Linked DNA regions of Danio rerio. The protein of the gene in region 2 purifies or fractionates together with the protein of the main gene of each other region. This does not show direct contact. Links are inferred from orthologs where the notes say so. Each region holds a gene or a part of one and is shown on either strand. Other genes may lie near its edges. The genes, in order: phf5a, snrpa1, u2surp and prpf19.

Evidence for each region.
Region 1: the proteins of snrpa1 (region 2) and phf5a purify together in Homo sapiens (affinity purification with mass spectrometry; 4 studies listed by BioGRID and IntAct, with this or other methods). This does not show direct contact. The link is inferred for Danio rerio from reciprocal best matches to the Homo sapiens genes SNRPA1 and PHF5A.
Region 3: the proteins of snrpa1 (region 2) and u2surp purify together in Homo sapiens (affinity purification with mass spectrometry; 5 studies listed by BioGRID and IntAct, with this or other methods). This does not show direct contact. The link is inferred for Danio rerio from reciprocal best matches to the Homo sapiens genes SNRPA1 and U2SURP.
Region 4: the proteins of snrpa1 (region 2) and prpf19 fractionate together in Homo sapiens (co-fractionation; 3 studies listed by BioGRID). This does not show direct contact. The link is inferred for Danio rerio from reciprocal best matches to the Homo sapiens genes SNRPA1 and PRPF19.

Annotation. Positions count from the first base shown.
Region 1 is NC_133187.1:20,791,590-20,795,906, forward strand, and holds the start of phf5a (PHD finger-like domain-containing protein 5A), read left to right. Parts: upstream 1-1,507; 5' UTR 1,508-1,569; coding exon 1,570-1,621; intron 1,622-2,419; coding exon 2,420-2,443; intron 2,444-2,950; coding exon 2,951-3,117; intron 3,118-4,317.
Region 2 is NC_133182.1:9,121,771-9,125,832, reverse strand, and holds the start of snrpa1 (U2 small nuclear ribonucleoprotein A'), read right to left. Parts: upstream 2,813-4,062; 5' UTR 2,676-2,812; coding exon 2,594-2,675; intron 2,091-2,593; coding exon 1,943-2,090; intron 1-1,942. UniProt on the Homo sapiens protein: Involved in pre-mRNA splicing as component of the spliceosome. Associated with sn-RNP U2, where it contributes to the binding of stem loop IV of U2 snRNA.
Region 3 is NC_133177.1:29,971,845-29,975,414, reverse strand, and holds part of u2surp (U2 snRNP-associated SURP motif-containing protein), read left to right. Parts: intron 1-1,778; coding exon 1,779-1,883; intron 1,884-3,570.
Region 4 is NC_133189.1:18,668,843-18,672,412, reverse strand, and holds part of prpf19 (pre-mRNA-processing factor 19), read right to left. Parts: intron 2,641-3,570; coding exon 2,565-2,640; intron 1,973-2,564; coding exon 1,863-1,972; intron 1,776-1,862; coding exon 1,620-1,775; intron 528-1,619; coding exon 458-527; intron 41-457; coding exon 1-40. UniProt on the Homo sapiens protein: Ubiquitin-protein ligase which is a core component of several complexes mainly involved pre-mRNA splicing and DNA repair. Required for pre-mRNA splicing as component of the spliceosome.

The DNA.
Region 1 (4,317 bases), on a different chromosome or scaffold from region 2:
TGTTAGCTCTTCTCTGAAATATAACACACACACACACACACACACACAGAGAGAGAGAGAGAGAGAGAGAGAGAGATAAAAAATAAATCTTGCAGACATTAGGAATAAAATATTCATAGATAAATTATTTATTGATCGCCTTATTTTAAATACAAAACGTTTTCTTGGAATGGAAGAGTCTATTTTGACTAAATTTTTTGGACTGTTTAATGATATAAAATTGACTCAGAATTTACTACTGAAAGAATATTTCAGTTCATTATTGTATTAAATCCGAAAAGAAGCAAGTAAACATACAACACATGAACAATATAGAAACACACACACGCACACACACACACACACAAATATATATATATATATATATATATATATATATATATAGAGAGAGAGAGAGAGAGAGAGAGAGAGAGAGAGAGAGAGAGAGAGAGAGACATAGATTTACATACACACACACACACACAGTTGAAGTCAGAATTATTAGCCCCCTTTTGATTTTTTTTTTTACTTTTTTAAATATTTCCCAAATGATGTTTAACAGAGCAAGGACATTTTCACAGTATGTTACTGATAATATTTTTTCTTCTGGAGTAAGTCTTATTTGTTTTATTTCGGCTGGAATAAAAGCTAATTTTAATTTTTTTAAAAACATTTTGGGACAAAATTATAAGATTTTTATAAAAAATATAAATAATTATAAATTATACATTATAAATAAATTATAAATATATATTTTTCAATAGTCTACAGAACAAACCATCACTATACAATAACTTACCTAATTACTCTAACCTGCATAGTTAACCTAATTAACCTAGTTAAGCCTTTAAATGTTACTTTAAGCTGTATAGAAGTGTCTCGAAAAATATCTAGTAAAATATTATTTACTGTCATCATTGCAAAGATAAAATAAATCAGTTTTCAGAAATGAGTTATTAAAACTATTCTGTTTAGAAATGTGTTGAAACAATCTTCCCTCCATGGTTTAATAATATTATTCTTACTCAAATTATAGTTATGATTATACCTAGCACACACATGCTACTATTATTATTGAATAGTTTTAGATATAATCTATTATTTATTCTACATTACTGTATAGACTTTGTGCTCCTATATAAATGTCATAATATTCATTACTTTTTATAAACTGTTTTTGTTCACTCAAAAAACTGTAAGAAAAATGAGAATTCCAGCACTATTTTTGATAAAAGAGACACATTTATTTACATCTCTGTTTATACCATAAAATGACACATTTGAGCTTTCTGACTCCTACGTAACTGGAGTTTTTTTACATCATAAAATTGTAATCCGTTAATAAATATTAGCGTTATTGTATTTTATATTTATATTTATACTTGAAATCAGCAGCTCCTCCGGTTATCAGTCTATAAACATTAGGCAAAGAGCATAGAATCTGACTGAATCTGGTGATTGTAAGCTCTTTGCATTAGGTGGCAGTAGGTTGCTGCGCATCTTTTAGACCAAAATATCCGAAGAAGGAAGTTCGGAGGTCAGCGCTGCGTCGACGCTTGCTAGCTTGTTCTCTGCGCTCACTCTTTTATAATGGCAAAACATCACCCAGATTTGATCTTTTGCAGAAAACAGGCTGGAGTTGGTAAGTCTCGTTTTTCATTAGACCTTAAATAATTTCTTTGTTTAATGATCCAACTTGTAGCAAACAATGAGTGAGAATTTACACTCGCGCTACATCAGATGGATGAACAATAAGGTTTCAATCTAAGTGGAGACGGTTCATTTAATCGTGTAACTTTAGTAAGCAGATAAAATAGCAGCCTTACAAAGTCCTCGTATACGATGCTAGTTAGTCAGATATTTGATTGGAAAAATAACGACGTTTAAGTGTTTGTGCGAGCCCATGCAAACGTGCTTTTGTCGTTTGTTTACAGCGTCCTCAGTCGTTGGAGGGCGGAATTGTCATGCAGGCTTTCAGATACTTATAAAGAGAAAGAGATAAAACTTCACTTTACTGACCATCAAGTGGTTACAAAGCTTTGAAGTTTTCTGTTTAGGTCAAACTATGTTTTCGTAGCGTGTTGGGAAATACAATTAAAACAAATGCAGGGTTTCACACAATCCATGTTGTCCCATCTCATATCGCTGAAGTTAACAAAGTGGATTGAACAAAAAACAGTTGTCTTTCACTGGACAACATGACAAAATACCGAGGACCAACATAAAATGTATACAGTTATTTGCATGTTAGTGTCAGACTTTACATTTACAGCCTGAATTGAAGTACTGAAAGATTATTTAGCAGTTTCTTTCCTTGGTATTTATAAAGTCTCAATATTACCTTTACGTCATTTGTTTTGCAACTTTTACGGTTTAAATATGCACGAGTTCATCAATTATACGTCTGTTTAACCTGATTTGACCTTTATTTCTTTTGCAGCCATTGGAAGACTTTGCGAAAAATGTAAGTTTTACTAATTTTCTTTTCATGAACAGTTATCAGTAATTTATTGTTTTAAACCCACAAGGAATTTGTTAATCTTTGTAACACAGCGAGTGATATCACAGAGTTTATCCGCTTCATTAAAGGGATAGTTCACCCAAAAATGAAAATTCTGTCATCATTTACTCAGCCTTTGCTTATTTCAAAAAGCAAATTTTGTTTGAATTTTTTTTTTTTTTCAAACATATTAGATATTTTGAAGAAATCTGTAACCATTGACTTCCATAGTATTTGTTTTTCTACTTTTAAAGTAAATAGTTTCAGTTTTCATCTTTGTTTAAAATATCTCCTTTAGTGTTCAACAGAAGAAAAGAGGCAAGTAAATAGTGAGTAATTTTTCATTTTTGGCTGAACTATTCCTATAACAATGTAAAGAGATCAAAAAAGGATGACAGAATTATTGTTTTGAGGGGGTCATACTGTTATGATTTTATGCTCTTTAACACAAATGTGTATTTTCTTTTCCAGGTGATGGCAAATGTGTGATCTGCGACTCTTATGTCAGACCTTGCACACTGGTTCGTATTTGCGATGAATGCAACTATGGCTCTTACCAAGGACGCTGCGTGATCTGTGGAGGTCCTGGAGTGTCTGATGCCTATTACTGCAAAGAGTGCACCATACAGGAGAAAGACGTGAGTATATCTGCTCTACATTTGCCCAAATTAGTTTTTGACTAAACTGAGAGAGGGCTGGAATAAATATTCCATTCGTCAGTAGTTTGAGTAAACTTCAAACTTCATTATGTGGTTTTAGATGTTTGCATTGTGTTATGTTACTTATTAAAAGGTTGAATTCTCAGTTCAAAAATCCAAATGATTAGAGGTGGGGAACTTTAAGGTCTTCAGCATCCGATTACAATTATAGGAGTTACGATCCCAATCCAAAACATACATTGTTTATTTTTTCGGAAATACATCGATAACAGTGTAATATAATATTAATAATGACTTATATAATAACTGCACACTATGAATCATATAATAAGCATTAGAAAATAGTTAATTCATTCATCATTTAAGGATTAACTCTGCATTATTAAACAATAGTAAGCAGTTAGGCTTACACAATTTTTAGCCTATAATTGAGTCTATTTATTTAACTATTTACTTGTGTAAATGTGTTTTAAATATATATTATTTCAATAATATTATTGACAAATATGCAAATGTTTATGATTTATGTACAATGCAGATAGTAAATTAATAGTTTCTGTCGTTTAGTGGATGTATGCTATGAGAAATTTGCTTTGTTTACTAAACAAGTGGATCTAATTGGATTTGCAAACCTTAAAATAAAAGTACAAAGGGTATTTTTTGATGAATTATGTATTTAATTACTAAATCAATTATATTTCTAAAATTATATTTATAATTTGATTTATATACAATACACATATAATGGCTTAATGATTGTATTTTCAAAATTTGTTAAAAAAAATAAATTCAGTTACAAAATTAAGTGTGGCATTGTTTAACACAATTTAAGATTTAAGTTTTTAGATCAATTTTAATGAGCAAGTAAATTACTAAACTATTTAGACATCTTATTTGTCAGGCATATAGCTACTCTTGTTAATAAATGTTTATTATTAAATCTCTACTGCAATTCAGTAGTAATTTAAGGACGCACTAAACAAAAGCTTGGAATCTCAATCCTTTAAAAATACAATTACAGTGGAATACTGCTTATGTGTGGCTATAGAAAAAAAACATGATGCATCTCAATTAGCATTTAACCATCCTAATCAGTATTAAAAATTGAATTGGTGTATCCCAAATCATAATATGCTAAAATGAGTACTCCCAAAAGTTTGTCAAGTGCAGATCTGTGTA
Region 2 (4,062 bases):
CGTCATGTGACACACCTCAGCCACAATAGTGCCGTATGACAGATGTATTCCCTTTTATTTAGTATTTTTCCATTTTAATTCAACATATTCACACGCTTGCTCATCATGTCCTCAACTACCTGATATTCCAATTTACATAAACGTGTAAGTGATCGTGATCTGTAACGTGAGATTGGTGTAGCCATGTTTACTTGCGGCCGAGCGTTTGCCTCAAAAGTAGAACATGCAGGATTCAGCACGTAAATTCACTGGTTTTAATAATCAAAATCCCTGTGTCATTACGACATAACAAATCGATTATGAAGTTCGTTGCCAACGCTTTTAGAAATCGATTTTTATCGATTCGTTGTTGCAACCCTACTATTTCATTAAATATTAAAACACCCAATGACTGTCTTATCAAGACTTTCAGAAAATGGAAAAAATAGTGCTGATAAACGCAGCCAACACAATCTTTACCTGAGGTGATCATTGTCACAGTAGTTTATGTTGTTTTGCCACAAGGTTGCAGAAACAGAAACTCTTTTCTATTATTAATTTAATTATACATATTATTATTATTTAATAACTATTAATACTCTATGAGGTGGCACAGTGGCTCAATGGTTAGCACAGTCACCTCACAGGTAGAAAGCCACTGGTCACAGTCCCGGCTGGGCCAATTGGCATGTTCTCTCTACGTTTGCGTGGGTTTCCTCCGGGTGCTCCAGTTTCCCCCACAGTCCAAACACATGCGCTATTGGTGAATTGAATAAACTAAACTGGCCATAGTGTAGGAGTGTGTATGGGTATTTCCAAGTACTGGGTTGCAGCAGGAAGGGCATCCGCTGCGCAAAACATATGCTGGAATAGTTGGCGGTTCATTTCGTTGTGGCGACTGCTAATAAATAAAGGACTAAGCTGATGGAAAGTGAATAAAGTATTACTTTATAACTATTATTTTCTAAGTGTTGTTACGACACAGTGTAAAGGTGAATTAACGGTGTGCAATATCAAAGAGTAAGCTAATGTGCCTCTTTAATGTGTGTTCATGTTACGTTTCACGTATGTTTTGTAGTATTTTTGTTGCTTTCTGCTCTGCGCTCCTCTCTCTCTCTCTCTCTCTCTCGTTGTGGTCCTATCCTGTTTCAGGTGTGCTACCATTGGTCGGGTGAGCTGTCATTCACCTTCGTCACGTGCAGTATAAAACCGGTGCGCTTGCGCTGTTCTGGAGGAGCGCTTGGCCTGCCAATCTCCTCACTTGTGTCGGCCGGACTGTTTGTTTGATTGATCCGCTTGATTTGTTTGCGAGTGCTATTTTCTAGTTTTCTCCGTTTATCCTGATTTATCAGTTAAACTTGTGCTGCTCTTGTGAATGTTTAGTGAGATTTTGAACAATCTGTATGAGAATTGGATTACCTGAGATCTTGTTTTGCTAATGGCTAACAGTGTGTACTTTACGAGAATAATAGCATTTCGAGCAGCTTAGTAAAATTTTGTATTAGTTAGTTTTTGGAGGCGTTGCCACATGTGTACGGAAGTTAAGAAGTTTAGTTAAGCTACGTGCTGAAGATTACGGTTTTGTTTCTACATTTTTCTTTGTTCAGTCAGTTTAGTGGGTTGGGGTTTAGTTAGTTTATTTTGTTATATTTATTTCTTTGTTTTGGCAACACTCCTATTTTTCTTTAGTTGATTCAATTATTTAAAAATTACATTTATCTTCTATCTTACATTCATTGTTTGAAATTATCCATTAATAAATACTTTTTTGTTTCACTTATCAAGCATATGCGTCTTCTCCTCATTCACCCAGCATCAATAGACTCACTGATTGTTACGTATCATCCCTTTTATTATTTAACATCATAAACACGTAACAGTTCACAAGAAATACTCACTGCAGAGTAGCGTGGTATTGTTTTATACCAGACAATATATGAACACATCAGTCTGCTTCTCTCACCAGATTCTGTTGTTGTTCACCAGCAGCGTTTTGAGTCTCTTCAGCAGCGGAAACCCATCCAGTTTTCTGACCTCATTATCCGACAGATCGATGGTATCAAACTGATCCAGAGTGGCGCCCAGATTCTCTAGCACAGGGATTTTATAGCCTGCAAAACAGACAAATGAGATTTATATTCACTTCAAAGTTTAACCATATAGTTCAATTCAATTCAGCTTTGTTTGTATAGCGCTTTTACAATGTAGATTGTGTCAAAGCAGCTTCACATACATGGTCATAGTAACTGGAACAGTGTAGTTCAGTTTTTAGTGTTTAAGTTCAGTTCAGTTCAATTTAGCTCAGTTCAGTGTGATTTAATCATTACTGAGAGTGTAACCATATATATATATATATATATATATATATATATATATAGATAGATATATATACATATATATATATATATATATATACATACACACACACACACACACACACACAGTTATCCATTTGAAGTCAGCCCTCCAGAATTATTAGGACATATTATATATTAGGTTATATGAATCAATATATCGCACGTTTAGACTTTTATTAATGTTATGCAGCTATAATTAGCACAACTATACCCCTCAGACTGCATTTGTTTTGTGATAATGTTGTGTTTTAACTCACCGCGCAGATCCAGCTCTCTGTCCCGCACAGGGTTCGTGTACTGCGCCGCCTGCTCGATCAACTCCGCCGTCAGCTTCACCATGTCCGCCGCAGAGACCAAAGAAAAACAAGAGAAACTAGTCTAAGCGGAGAAAACTGTGTTTGGTCAAAAGTTTATTGTGAACGTGTAACATTCGTACACGCTGCCGCCAAACGGAAGTATCTGTTTAGTTCTTCTCGAGACAAAAAACAAAACACCGCGCTTGTTGAGCGGTTACAGCGACACCAGGCGGACTGGAGAAGCGATTTCCGCCGCCTACCGGGACGGAGGAGGAAGTGTGGATTGAAAAATAAAGCCGTCCCGCCAAGATTTTGCATATGTTACCTTTTTAAAAATCGTTGTATTTTCATAAAGCACAAGGATTTAAGCAAATAATACCATATGTTTTGATAAATAGACAGACAGATAGATAGATAGATAGATAGATAGATAGATAGATAGATAGATAGATAGATAGATAGATAGACAGACAGACAGACAGACAGACAGACAGACAGACAGACAGATAGATAGATAGATAGATAGATAGATAGATAGATAGATAGATAGATAGATAGATAGATAGATAGATAGAGATAGACAGACAGACAGACAGACAGACAGACAGACAGACAGACAGACAGACAGACAGACAGACAGACAGATAGATAGATAGATAGATAGATAGATAGATAGATAGATAGATAGATAGATAGATAGATAGATAGATAGATAGATAGATAGATAGATAGATAGATAGACAGACAGACAGATATACAGACAGATAGACAGACAGACAGACAGACAGAGAGAGACAGACAGACAGACAGACAGACAGACAGACAGACAGACAGATAGATAGATAGATAGATAGATAGATAGATAGATAGATAGATAGATAGATAGATAGATAGATAGATAGACAGATAGACAGATAGATAGATAGATAGATAGATAGATAGATAGATAGATAGATAGATAGATAGATAGATATACAAACAGATAGACAGATAGACAGATAGACAGACAGACAGACAGAGAGACAGACAGACAGAAAGACAGATAGACAGACAGACAGACAGATAGATAGATAGATAGATAGATAGATAGATAGATAGATAAACTTAGCTTATTAGCATGTTTTTATAAATAAGCATGTTATAGCATAATTTAGTATGAAGCATGTTAACTAACATGTTTCCATGTATATTATAAAATAGCAGATTGCTAGCATGTTTCTAGTATGAGCTAGCATGCTGTTTGTGTAACGGAGGCCAGCTAGTGCTGTGCAGGTAAACCTCACTCCTCTGACCACTAAAGGTGCTCTAGCAATGGCCGCTAGGGGCCATGGCCTTTAGCCACTTTGTTAGAGCAACCGACTCCCATGTGGAAAGTCGCCGGCTCAATACCAGCTCAGAGCGGGTTGGGTGGCGTAGGACTGGCGGGGTTA
Region 3 (3,570 bases), on a different chromosome or scaffold from region 2:
TAGACAAAAAAATTGGGGCTAGATTTAAAAAAAAAAGCCTGGTTTATACTCTACGCATCGGTTAGTTTGCTTAAATGCGTATGGTGACTTGAGTGAACAGTTCGCGTGGCGCTGCTATTATTTTGAGTTTAATATAAATCGCTTTGAAGAGATTTTGTCTGAAACAGGTACACCTGTACAGACATCTTTATTATCCATCCATGCCTGATAATAGGGGTAACCAGATGGCCAATTGAACCTATCGGTTTATAATATACTGATGTTCTATTTTTGGGGCTTTGTTTTTAATGGTCAGGAATGTTGGGCCATTATTGGCTTTTAGCATGTAAGTAGAGGACACAACCTAGCCAGACAGTAATGTGTGAATTGTGGAGTGGGCTAAATCTAAAAAACCCTCAGTATTTTTTTAGTAAGTATGCTTTTTTTGCTTTTATTATTGCCATAATAAAAAAGCAACCTATGTTATGTTGTTTATTATTTTAATAAACTTAAATTGGTAGAAATTTTGAACGGTTATAAAAATCTTTATAATCATTAAAATGATTGATAAAAAATAGTTAAAGAAGTTGAATTATATTAAAAATATGACATAGTTCAGGAAACTTATTACTCTTCTATTCATCTGTCTGGTTTTTCGGAGGGTTTCCTTGCCTCTGTCATTTTAAAAAATATCTCATCAGCGAATGCGTTAAGTATAAAAGCCTCATCCGTTTTGTGAGGTGCACGCTCATTCAGTGGAGAATCTCAACGCCAGGCGAAAGTATAAGTCAGCCTTAAGACTTCTTATTTGAAAAGATTTTATTTTAAATCAATGCTGGTATTAGTTTTCATGAAGATTTTAAGATTACACAATAGTTTTCTGCTTTGATTAGGTGAAATGTTACATAAACTTTTGAGGTTTTATTTTTCTATAGTACCAAATTCTACTTTTACAAGGAATTATTTTAGATGTCAATGTTACAGCATGCTTTACAGATTGTTCCACACTAGTTTCCAAGAGAGTTTTTATTGACCACACTACATCAGATCTGATGCATTACACCACTCCTAACGTAGAAGCTAAACACTACACAATCATCTAGTGTCAGTTACACAAAATCCAGTCCTCTGGCTATTGCTCACTTCAGCTGCCCTAGTAGCAGGGCACAAAAGCGACGCCTGATCCCCATAGTCTAAGTGACCTTTGACATTGGCCTTGGTGAGCAGCACAAGTTGAACTGTCTGCAGCAGCGAGGGACCAGAAAAGCGTCACAGGATGGATTGGGGAAAGTATACAGAATGATTGCCTGACATTGGTATGATCGGCTCCAATACTTGTGATCTGTGTTTCAGTACATTTTGAAAAACATCATCTGTTGATTTTTATCGGCCACTTCACGAGCCAGTCAGGAAGCCAGTTGTTGTCCCCATCCCTTAACTAGAAGAGCTTACATGATTTTGTCCCTTTCCATTCACACTTGTCTATTGTGAAAAAAAGCAAGAAAGTTCACTTAACACTCGGCCTCACAGTTAGTAGCACAATCAGTTTTAACTTATGAGGGCAGAATGCTATGGCTGAGACTCACATGTGTGTGTATATAGAGAGGATTTAAATGATTTGATTGTTACAAGCTGTCATAACTGGCAGTCAGTTTTAAATCTTAAAAGCTCAAACATCTTTATGGCTCATAGTAAGTGCAAGAATGTTGCATTTCATCAAATGTCATATATAGTAGTGGTTTAGGTGTGGCTGGTGATGGCGCTGAATCTGTTTCGCTTTAACTGTGTTTTTCTCGTAGGAATTTGCTCTCTCTCATCCACCGAATGATCGAGTTTGTGGTGCGTGAGGGCCCTATGTTTGAAGCTATGATCATGAACAGAGAAATCAACAATCCACTCTACAGGTGAGCCTGATTTGAGTGATTCTGGAGGGAATGACATGTCAGAAGAGAGTTAGCATCAAAAAATCACAGCAAAAATTGGACTGTGGTCTGTGCCACTGTTTCTACATGATTGATCTAATCTTGTGGTCTGGATCTTCCATTTGTCAAAGAATCAAACATGACCTTCCTTCACTAAACCTCTAAAATAAAACACCAGAAATGTCATTTTAATCCCCAAATTCATTTTGCATGAAGAAATCACAAACTGTTTGTGTGAATAAAAACTGTGAATAAGATTTTCCCTCATTAATGTGCAGTATTTCATCACTATTTAATCAGTGGGCACCTTTCATTATTTAAAGTAAAGTAGTTTATATTTTCGATTGTTAAATGTACCTGCATATTCATGCAAAGGTTTTAGCAAGACAGTATTCATAAAGGTCAAAACAGCAGATTATTTGTGTGTGCTGGAGTGTGGTGGTGTATAAATGGTTTTATATCTGGTTGGTCAAAATTGACCCTTAAGATTATCTTTGTATCCTACTTTGAAGTCTGTATGTAAAGCCTTCATGAAAATATTAAAATAGCTCTTTTTCCCCCCCCCCCCATTTAATTATGGGTAGACCTGTCACAATGATCAATATATCGACTTATCGCACAACACATGGGCATGACCTCAATCATTTTTGGTGATTTCAACATTTGCAATATAAAAAACTATTCTAGCAACATTTTAGCTGCACAGCCTCTCTATCTCAACAGTGTCAGTATGGATAAAGAAATCACTGTAGTATTTTATTTAATATAAATGACTATATTATATTTTCGTGTGGGTGTCCCACAAGTGAAAATAGATATGGTAGCAGATCTCACAGCCTGTTACTTTCTACCTTGCGCTTTTATTTTATTAACTTTTTTTTAGTTTAGGATATTACGATTGCACATTCTGATGCCAGTGCCTCATAATTGTTAAAACGACAATATGGTATATGCCGAAGCATGCTAATAGGACTTTTAATTTGCCAGTAACCTGGGTTAATCGTTTCCGGTGAATTGTATGCCAATGCAGACTCGGCACATTTAAGGTTTATTTTCTTTAAAAATCAGTGACAAATATCAAATCACTGGCTGAGGGATATCAGATATAAAGTGGGTCTCAGATTGTACAAGAAGCACTGCATTAAATTACATTTTTCCCACCAGAACTTTATAATATGAGCATTTATTTTACCCCATTAATTTTAATGGAGCTTCTGCATTAGCCTGCCGATTCTGACGGGCATGTGCGAGTAAACGGCTTTTTGCCTTGTTTTATGCTTGAGAAACCAAATGAATGCCGAAGTCTGTTTAACGGATTATATTTGAATTACGTTACAACATTGATGCTGTAAAAGAAACCGTATAAAATGGAAAAAAAAAAACTTACAATAACAGGTCACCAGAGGTTTATCAGTATGGGAAACACACTAGCTCGGCATATACCCCATAATGAAATGAAATATTCTTGAAAATAAAATATTATGTATTCTTTGAAAGAGTGTACTTGCTTTATGATGCTATTATATTGGTATTCTGGCATTTTATAATCAGTGGCTTTAAATGGTCTTAAAATGACAATAATGTTTATCGCAATCTTATCATACAATAAAAAATAAATATCGTGACAGGCCTAATGTTGGGGTCATTTTAATATATATTTTTAAACTAA
Region 4 (3,570 bases), on a different chromosome or scaffold from region 2:
AAAATCAGACCATCAGGATGGAACTGTGCACAGGTTAAAGCTGAAAGAATGAGGCAGAAATGCTTTTTAAATGAAGAGACAAATTAACACTAGACCTACCAGTACTACTTGGCCATAGCTGTCCTTTTGGCTGTTTTGTACCAAACTGAATTTTTTTTTTTTTACATTTTAAGATTTTATTATCAAATTTTTAATGTTTTTCCTTATACTTTATGAAGTCATTACCCTAAAAATACTATCTTTTTTTTTTTTGTAACATGGCTTATAATCATGTACAAAATGCCTGTATTAAATATGTTGAGTGAAATATTTTGAAGTAAATCATTACATTTCATTTTTATCCTAACTTGACAAATTCTAAAAGAGAGCTTGTTTCAGTTTCCACACTTATAAAAATAGCATTCAAAAAACACTTATTCAAAATCTGACACAGTGCAGCTAAAATAATAAAACATACCACATCCAGCAGTCTCATCAGTGACTTTGGTCAGGACACGTCCAGTTTGGATATCGGAGAAGGCCCAGTACTACAAAACAAACATTTAAAAATGTAACTACACAGAATAAAAATGTAACTACACAGAGACTTCCCTTCCATAAAAATAACAAAGCATGTTCTTTTTACATGGGAAGTGAAACGGAAAACCACAACAACAGTTTCCACTCGTTCTGGGGAAATTTTATTTATTTTTAAATAAAATGTCAATTTTTAAAAAATCATGATTTGACAAATGGTTGTTTCTGCTAAAGTAGTCTTTGACAATGCTTTTATCCAGTAAGTGTAGCATACTGCTAATGTTGTAAATTATGCTTGATTCACATTTTATTGCAAAGCTACAAAAATTTTCTTAATTGTCTTTAAAATCATATTTCCCTCAAATATAGTCTTAAATTGGCCCAAATCTTCAAAAGCGTCAGCACTTGTGGCCAACAAAAACAAACAAGACAAGAATTATGGCAAAGACAAAATTCTGTTATTTTAAATTTTTTTAAGATTTTAGTAAATAATGCATGTAGAGGTTTAAATAATGTAACCTTGAAAAGTGTAACTATGGAAATGTACACACAGAGGCCGCATCAAAAACACTACATACACTGCACAAACTTCTTACACTCTAAGAGAAAGTGGCCATCGTTTGCTGATTCTCATTTGAAAGGTGTGAAGTGGCTTTCACAATGGATGTGGAAAGCAATGTGCTATGAACTCAATTTATTTCACTAGCTCATGGCATGCCAGGGCGGTTAGTGGCTATGCCAACAAAACACATCATCTGACACGCATCTCAGTTAAAGCAACTACATTTAAAAAAAAAAACAAAGTCAAAAAAGTAAATTTTTTGCTCTGTATTACCTGCAATATGAGAAACAATGCTATAAAAAAAACATAGCATTTTTTTATATAAATAGAAAGTAAAATTTCAAACAACTTGCATCACACAAGAAATATATAACTTCAACATCTGGAATAGACCATTTAAATTTAGTGACATTACAAAAAAAGGTTTAGGTATAGGGTTGGAGTAGGGTGATAGAAAATACAGTTTGCGCAGTGTAAAAATAAGGGAAACCTATAAAATGTCCCCTTAATTCACAAAAACAATTGTGTGTGTGTGTGTTACCTGGTCCTCAGATGAGCTCAGTAAATAGTCCCCAGTAGCGTGCAGAGAGAGGCCAGTAACAGCAGACTCATGGGCCCTGACCACTTGCACACAGTTGCCTCCAGTAACGGACCACACTCTAATAGTGCTGTCTGAAGATGCTGAGAACACCACCGCCTGACAAAGAGCACAAGAGGAGAGACATGAGAGCTAAATACAAACCAGGAACCATTTTATATATTCAAAACAAGAGCAATGGCATACCTGAGCAGGGTGGTAGATGACAGATGAGACCTTTTTGGTGTGTCCTTTGAGGGTGGCAACAATCTGCTCCTCACGACGGTCAAACACCACCACGTTCTTATCCGCACCACCTGGAAAGCGTAGCAAACTGAGGTTTTAATTTGAGAGAACCATGTGGTAGCTCTCCTTGTTTACATCTTAATTTTAGATTAGTTATTTCTACTTCAGCAAAACAGTCACAATTAATCCAACAAAAAGGAAGGAGCTGCAAAAAAAGAAACAAAAAAGGGCAACAGTATTTTTCCTTGCATGATCAATCATTTGTGACCAAGAGGGTGCAGATGACACATGCAAGAATTGTGTTAGGGGATGCTTATGGTTTGGAAACATAAATGTGTGCTTTCTAGTGTTGTTATGATGCTGACATGTTTAAAACCTCAATTTCCAACTAACATTTGAGTGTTGTTAAGTACATGCTCAACAGAGCTCAAATGTTTGCGGGGAAATGGACATTTTTAAAATTTCTGTACCAATTGGTCCTGCAATTCAGTATCGTGACAACACAAGTGCTTTCTACCAGCATTTTATGTAACATCCCAAAAGGGGGACTTACAAAGGATATATTATACACAGTTCATCAAAATAGTAAGTAACATCACAAAATTCTAAGAATCAGGACACATTCAAAACACTCATCTGACAAACTACTAATGGAAATTATACCGGTGAGGACTTTGTTGGTGTCTGTTGGGCAGAGATCCAGAGAGAGGATTCCTGGTACACTGGCACTGTGAAGACCCTGTTGAAAAGAGCAAAACAACTGATTTGATGTAATGTTTCAAATAAAATTGTACAGCGATCTAAACTAAATCAAAGGAAAGACTAACTCACAACACTTTACATAGAATAGGCATGGGAGGATAATGGTTTTACCACAGGTATACCACAGTTTGGAAAAGTCTTTAGTTTTAAAACCAGCTAAAAATTTCTGCTATACCATTCCTTTGGTATATGTAACATTTTTTTTAAGACAACAGTATCTCTAGCAGAAAAGATCCAAAGATCCCATTTTAAATCGTAAAGAAATCTGTGTTTTTAAACTAAATAAAGACATCTGAAGTCAATGATTTATTTGAATTACTTAGCCTGACATGTTTACTGTTCCAGAATATTTTAAATCTTTCTTTACATAAAATATATTGTGTTCAAAGGGGGGAAAAGTTTTAGTTTTTTACCCAGATATTAAAAAAATACAATTTAGAGGAGTAATCATAATACTGTGAAGGTTATCATACCATCAGAATCTTATACCAGCCCAAGCCTAAGACAGAAACTCCATTTGTCAAACTTTGAGGTGGAAATTGTTGATTTTTATCTTAATTTCTAAACAGAGAATAATTTTTTTTTAAAAGTTTAAATTCAACAGAGTTTAAAGTTAGCATGCTTCTCAGCTAACAATATGACATGGTAATAACTATAAAAGTGTGTATTAGTTTTATTAAGATTTTACAATTAAGATTAAGATATAAGTCGATATTTACACAATGTGATTCAGACGTCATTTTCTTCCCAATAGCTGTGCCTTCAAAGATGCTGTCACAGAATTTGATCAAAACAGGATTTCTAGAACAATTTTATGCTTACTTGGCAATTTTTTTTTACCAGGACATATGGAAAGAGAGAATTTTGAATTTATTGCCATATCAGCTTTTATGGCTATATCATGGCA